Tribolium castaneum: one gene and its partner. The protein of the gene in region 1 purifies or fractionates together with the protein of each later gene. This does not show direct contact. Links are inferred from orthologs where the notes say so. Each region holds a gene or a part of one and is shown on either strand. Other genes may lie near its edges.

Region 1 (3,978 bases):
CGTACGAAGCCGTGCGATTACTGGCAGCCGCTGCCGTTTGTCTACTAACTCTGATTAATTGCTACAACGTCAAGTGGGTGACACGGGTCCAAGACATCTTCACCGCCACCAAAATCTTCGCCCTGTGCATTATCGTGGCAGCTGGAGCGTACTACTTATGCATTGGTCACGTCGAGCATTTCAGGGACCCCATGGAAGGGACCAACTGGCAGCCCGGGTACATTGCCTTGGCCTTTTATTCCGGCCTGTTCTCCTACTCGGGCTGGAATTACCTCAACTATGTTACCGAAGAACTGAAAGATCCCTACAAGTGGGTTTTATTATCCCTAACACAGCTATGTTTATTATCATTGTTTTTGTTCCAGGAACCTTCCTCGCGCAATTTGTATATCGATGCCAGTGGTCACCGTCATTTACGTTGTGACAAACCTTGCGTACTTTGTTGTCTTGAGCAGGGATGATATTCTGGCGTCAGATGCAGTTGCTGTTACTTTTGGTGATAAGTTACTGGGCGCGTTTTCGTTTTTCATTCCGTTTTTCGTGGCTTGTTCCACGTTTGGTTCGTTAAACGGTGCTATTTTTGCATCGTCACGCCTTTTCTTCGTGGGGGCTCGTGCTGGACACTTGCCACGAGCTATCGCACTCATTGATGTGAAAAGACTGACCCCTGTACCATCTCTAATTTTTATGGTAACCATAATTCCGTAATAAAACACTAATTTTACATTAATTGTATTTACAGTGCATCATTACGCTAGCCCTTGTAATGATTGAAGATGTGTACGTTCTTATTAACTACGTTTCGTTCGTTGAGGCCCTTTTTATCACGATAAGTGTGACGGGGCTGCTGTATATGAGGTGGAAGAGGCCCGATATGCACCGGCCGATTAAAATCAGTTTTATTCTTCCTGTAATATTTTTGTTAATTTGTGGCTTCCTTGTCATTTTTCCCTGTTATGTTAGTCCCCTGGAGGTAGGGGTAGGTTTAGGTTTCATTTTTTGCGGAATTCCTGTTTATTTAGTTACGATCGCTTGGAAGAATAAACCAGATTGGTTGAATAAAATTTTCAACGAGTTTAACAACGGCTGCGCCAAACTCTTCCTGTGTGTTACGGAATACGAAGACAAGGAGTCCTAAAGTTAGACATATGATATGTAAAAATGATCTAAATAGTATTAATTGTTTTCGAATGCTTTGACACAAGAAATATTTATTTGTATATTACTATTCATTAAACATGTTTTGTAAGATGTTTTTTTCCATAAATTAAATTCAAAAAAAGGACAGTTCCTCCAACCACACCGCGATAAAATCCCAATTGAACTAACCTAAATCGATGGTGGCGCTCTCAATGAGACAACTTTTATCAAAATTAAATAGAATCCTCTCGTAATCATCGACAATTTTTCCGTTTATTAAACTAGTTCAAAAATTCGGGTTCGGGAAGTCCTTTTCCGCCCCGTATTAATTTTTCCCAGTTTTTAACGTGACAGTTGACTTGTGCGCACTCTATGGTCATTCGTCAGTTGGTGTGATTTGTGGTGTTTTAGGATAAGCCCAACCCAAAAATTCTAGGAATATAAAAATAAAGGTTTATTGTACATTTATAGGACGTTCAAGCTGAATAGGTAATCCCCCTAATCTCGTTTTTACTAGCGTTAAAATAGCTTAGTGGTATCAACTGGTTGAAAAAATGACGCCAACAACTCAAAATGGCAGATCATTATGATTGATATCCTTATTCCTGGAACAATTCGGGCGTTTGTGTTAATTTGCTGCTTTTTGAACGCCGCTCGTGACTTAAAACCGTTCCTAGCCTCGTGGAGAGCGAAGGAACGCCATTGTCAATTCTCGGAAGTGTTCCGTGTCCTAATAATTAATTGTTGTTACAGCAAGGACGAAGAATGCAAACAATTAAATGTGTGGTGGTGGGTGACGGCGCAGTGGGTAAAACCTGCCTCCTGATAAGGTAACAGCTCCTGTTTGGTCTGTTTGAGGTGGTAATGGTTTGTTTCAGTTACACTACTAACAAATTCCCATCGGAATATGTGCCCACAGTCTTTGATAACTATGCGGTCACTGTCATGATAGGGGGCGAGCCCTACACATTGGGGCTGTTCGATACTGCAGGACAAGAAGATTACGATCGATTGCGACCTCTTAGTTATCCCCAGACTGACGTTTTCTTAGTGTGCTTTTCTGTAGTGAGTCCGTCCTCGTTTGAAAATGTTAAGGAAAAAGTAAGTCACTTGAGTATGAGCCTCTTGTAACTCAATCGAAGTCCCACGTGTTTCTGCCAGAGCCGGTTCTAAAGCACGTGCTTTTTAGAACTTAAATAAACCGGAAAAATATCCGTACTTTCAATCTAAAGTATGACAAACATATCACTGTATAAATCATAACTAAATAAATAAAAACAAGCGAACAGTAGTGAACAAATAGAATATAAAAAAACAAGTTTGTTAAGACAAGTTTTAAGGCAATTTTTGTAAAGCCCTGGGCTATTTTAAAAAATGTGTGCTACCATATAACTATAGGTCGTTATCCAACGAGCGTATGCGAGTGCATAGACACCCGAGAAAAAGGTAAAGTAAATTGTAAACAAAATTTGATGAAACAATCTCGTTTTGTTAACTGGAGAACCACTTCCTCTAACAACCACAAAGATAAGTTTAAATGGCTTTTTTCTCACACGTTTTTTCCACGATTCTCATTTTGCTATTTAAATTATCATCGTATCATTAGTTAAATATATGTTTTTGAAGTTATTTTTTTAATTAATAAACTGGGAAGTATTGGAGCACTGATGCTCGTTAGTTTTTCCAACGATGTTAAGAAATGCTCGCTTTGCTTTCAGTGGGTCCCCGAAATAACTCATCATTGTCAGAAGACGCCGTTCCTGTTAGTCGGAACGCAGGTCGATTTACGCGATGATGGTGCTACGATTGAAAAGTTGGCGAAAAACAAACAGAAGCCGATATCAGTGGAACAGGGAGAAAAGTTAGCTAAAGAATTAAAAGCGGTCAAATATGTCGAGTGTTCGGCTTTAACGCAAAAAGGTCTGAAAAATGTTTTCGATGAAGCTATTCTAGCCGCGTTGGAACCACCAGAACCAATTAAACGTAAAAAGTGTGTTATTTTGTAATCAGTAATTCAACCCGATTGGAATACTACAATTTTTATACTAGTTAAGGACAAAATTATATATTTATTTTATTTTTTTTTTGTTAACAGTTTAAATATTAAAAACAATTGTATGGTATATAACTTCTTCCATTTATTGAAGCTCAAACGACACTCGAGATCATTACTTCTTCTTATGTAAAGGCTTTTAGGAACAAGTCAGTATTACATCCAAATGGCTTCAAGGACTGCGAATTTACCACTTTCGTAACTTTTGTGTTTTTCTAACATTTTGTTATGTTCTTTCGGCAATAATTTGCATAACGTAAATAAATCATTTATTATATAAGACTGTTGTTTGGCTGAGAAACCTACCACCAGATTTTAATAAAACTAGTTTATTCAATTAATTAAGACTCACATGGTCGACATATACATAATAACAGACGTAAATTAAATATGTATGTGTGTGCACAAACGGATATATAGTGCGATTCCAAAGGGGCGTTTGAATTTACATTAGCCAATAAGGGCCGTTTACTGTCACCGACCCATAAAATATTAAAATTTCCGTAATAAATAACCGAAGAATAAAATTGACTATCAGCCGACCCCGAATCGTTAAACCGCACTATACATTTTTACGAACAGTTATTTAAAAAACCGTTTACTGAAGGCTGGGACTGTCGGTGCCACTGCCACTGTTGTTCGAATTTTCGGCCGCTGAAGCGCTAACAAACTTATTTTTCTTGGCGCTTTTCGACAAACTCGCCACCTCCTTCAAGAGACTGGTGATGCGCTTATTCAGCGCCTCAATCTTGTCGTCGCATTCCTTCTGGCAATTTTTCATCTTG
Region 2 (3,011 bases), on another chromosome or scaffold:
TTGTAATTTTCCCTTCAAGTAATAAAAAATCCATTGTTTTTTTTAGTGTTTTATTTTTGCGCGGTTGGCGTGTTGTTACTTTACATGCGCAGCGGAAGTGCTCAACTCGGCCATTTTGCGTAGAAGTTTGCAGGTGAGTTTTTTATTCAAAATAATTACACTTTTTGCTTAATTATTCAAAACAAGTCTCTCGATTGCTTCATTCAAACGTTGCGTTGTCGATAATTCCGTAAATAATGTCCCTTTCGATTTAAAATCGTTACATCAAGTTGTCTCTTGTCACTGGTGATTACCTAATCAATGTCAGTTTAAATCTTTGAACCCACGAAAAATCGCCAATTTGGGACGAAGCAGTGATTACGCGACTTTGCAGACGATGGCAGGGCGACTCTTGTGTATGAGGGCTTTGCCCGTGCAGAAGACACTCGGGAGGGCCTCCATGAGTGACATGCGATCCATTATTGGAAACAGGGAAATCGTTGGCTTTGGGTTCAACGGACAGCCGAATTACGCCGACCGCGTGGATTTCCCCTTGCCTGCCATCAGATGGAAGGAAAACACCCCCGATATTCAAGTAACAGGGTTAAACATTTTCTCATTCTTGTATTAACAAATTCGGTCCCAGGCCTTGCGCGAGAAGGAAAAGGGCGATTGGCGCAAGTTGACCATCGAGGAGAAAAAGGCCCTTTACAGGGCGTCCTTCTGCCAGACCTTTGCTGAGATGAAGGCACCAACAGGCGAATGGAAATCTATTGTCGGGATCTCGTTCGTGTTGGTGGCCATAGCGTTGTGGGGCTTCTACGGAATGAAAACCTTCGGTAAGGAGCAGGATTTGATTAGGTTGGTGCTAAGTAAGGTTTGCAGTGTACGCTCCTCTGCCTGAGAGTTTCAATGAAGAAAACAGGAGAGCTCAGCTCAGGCGTATCATCGATTTGCAGATTAACCCAGTCCAGGGACTTTCGTCCAAATGGGATTACGAAAAGGATGATTGGAAGAAATAAGTTAACTTAAATTTAAAATAATTTGAATGGGTTTTTTGTGACAGCCTAAGAATTCATTCATTTGTATTATAGTAAATTTAGCCCCGAAATTATTACATGGTGTAATAAAACTGTTCTTTTTATTATTTTTGTTTTTTTGTTAAAATTCATTACTTAGAAAATTCTACGGTTCACTTTACGTATTGTACGTAATTTTTGCCAATTAAAAAATTCATAACTTAAAAACTATTGAGAATTTGATGATTTTCTTGATGCCAATCGATTCCCCGGATCATTTTACATGACCAAGATTAAAATGGTGCCACATTTTTGAATAGTTTAGACGTAATTGAGAAAATAAAATTTTTTTGAAAATGGTCAACTGAGTGGTGTTGGCAGCAGTGTCGCTGCAGTGTTGGCAACGCCTTGTTTTGACGTGCCCGACCTTGATGGCGACTAGATAGAGGTTGTGTTCTCAGTGCTGTGTTCTTTGTAATTTTAGTCCATAGTTCCTTCTATATTTAGCTTAATAACATTTCATACTCTTGAGACGGGGGTGAGTAACGAATTGGCGACGTTGCCAAGCCGCTGGCCCACATAAAGACCGCAAACTTATCCTGTTTACATTGTCTCCGAGATCCTTATCTCAGTTTGGAAAAACACAATTTAAGCTACACAACGCTTTTAGATGGCTGCTGTGGGCGATTTGTGGGTGTCCTGGTTCAGTTGTTGCGTGCAGCAGCCCCAAAAACGGCGCATTCGAATCGACAGGTAACCCGCAACTGTGGCCAATTTTCCGTGAAAATGACTTTTCCAGATCAATGATTGGCTCCCCGACCAATTTCCAGCACACAGGCCACATCGGGAGCCGCGACGTGGAAATGCCCGGGGACCAGCTCGTGGCCCTCCAGAACCAAATGAAGAGCAAAGGCGGCTATGAGACAACGTACAAGGTGATTCAACATTTTTGCCAATGTGCGCTAATGAATGATTTTTTGCAGGACGTAAACTGGTGCCAATGATTTTGTTATTATTTATTGTGTGCAAGTGCGACTGTTTTATTTAAAGTATTAGGTCAAATGTGTGTAAATACGTGTATGTAAATAGGACTTCAGGTGGCAATATTTGTATGTATCGGAAACCGCATTTATTTGTATCATTGCCTTAGATAACGCACTCTAGGAATTTTCCATTTTATCATGTTGGTTGTTATCATTTTACAAATGGTGCTCTTGTTATCAGTTTTTTATTGATTTTTCGTAGCTAGTTGAGCCGTGCCAAAAATCTGACTAAGTTAGGTATTTTTTTAATTGAAACCAAAATTGATTGTGATTTTTTATTATACTACTGCGAGCAATAATTGCCTTTTAACCTCTTGCTGGAAATGACGTTTCCAACTCGCCTTAACGAATTGAAATATTTTTGCACAAACCTGTTAAAGCACAAGTATTATTCTTGATACTGTTATTGTACTTACTAGTGTAAATTTGTATCCGTGAATAAATTATTATTAGTTGAGTTTGCGTTTTTTTTAATATCCATATTAAACCACCCTCTCAACAATGGAATAAATGAATTATTGTAAAGCTCTTTTAATTAACTATCATTTTAAAAAGGATCATTGTTCTCCGAATCATAGTTTACGAGAAAATTTTAAATGAAAGAAAAAATAGGTGAAATATAAAAAAATTCATAACTAAAAAACTATCTGGAATTTGGTTATTTTCTCGATGCCACTCAATTCCCCTGATCATTTTACATAGGTTTACATCAAAATAATTCCACTTTTTCCAATAGTTTTGCAGTTTTTGTGTAAATTTTGGATCCGTGAATAAATTACACGAAATGTCGATAATAAAGGGAGCACACCTACCGGCTCCCAACTGTGGGAATAAATAACACAATTCGATTTTTACATTATTGTACTGTAAATTAAGCCCAAAAAACGGTATTTTTTTTCGAAAATTGTATAATTTAGTGCCGTTTTTGGGCTCAGCAGGGCGAAAAATGGGCCCGGTCTAGTGAATTTGC

The links.
Region 2: the proteins of cdc42 homolog (region 1) and Spec2 purify together in Homo sapiens (affinity purification with mass spectrometry; 4 studies listed by BioGRID and IntAct, counting the BioPlex papers as one, with this or other methods). This does not show direct contact. The link is inferred for Tribolium castaneum from reciprocal best matches to the Homo sapiens genes CDC42 and CDC42SE2.

The regions. Positions count from the first base shown.
Region 1 is NC_087398.1:3,193,649-3,197,626, forward strand, and holds cdc42 homolog, read left to right. Parts: upstream 1-1,337; 5' UTR 1,338-1,629; intron 1,630-1,893; 5' UTR 1,894-1,905; coding exon 1,906-1,970; intron 1,971-2,018; coding exon 2,019-2,241; intron 2,242-2,858; coding exon 2,859-3,146; 3' UTR 3,147-3,473; downstream 3,474-3,978. Other genes in the region: mnd (Y+L amino acid transporter 2), read left to right, coding at 1-310, 366-690, 743-1,138; protein FAM76A, read right to left, coding at 3,792-3,978. UniProt on the Homo sapiens protein: Plasma membrane-associated small GTPase which cycles between an active GTP-bound and an inactive GDP-bound state. In active state binds to a variety of effector proteins to regulate cellular responses. Involved in epithelial cell polarization processes.
Region 2 is NC_087396.1:23,112,640-23,115,650, reverse strand, and holds Spec2 (CDC42 small effector protein homolog), read left to right. Parts: upstream 1-1,375; 5' UTR 1,376-1,536; intron 1,537-1,668; coding exon 1,669-1,751; intron 1,752-1,797; coding exon 1,798-1,933; intron 1,934-1,981; coding exon 1,982-2,002; 3' UTR 2,003-2,498; downstream 2,499-3,011. Other genes in the region: Cox4 (cytochrome c oxidase subunit IV), read left to right, coding at 377-574, 626-818, 865-1,001. UniProt on the Homo sapiens protein: Probably involved in the organization of the actin cytoskeleton by acting downstream of CDC42, inducing actin filament assembly. Alters CDC42-induced cell shape changes.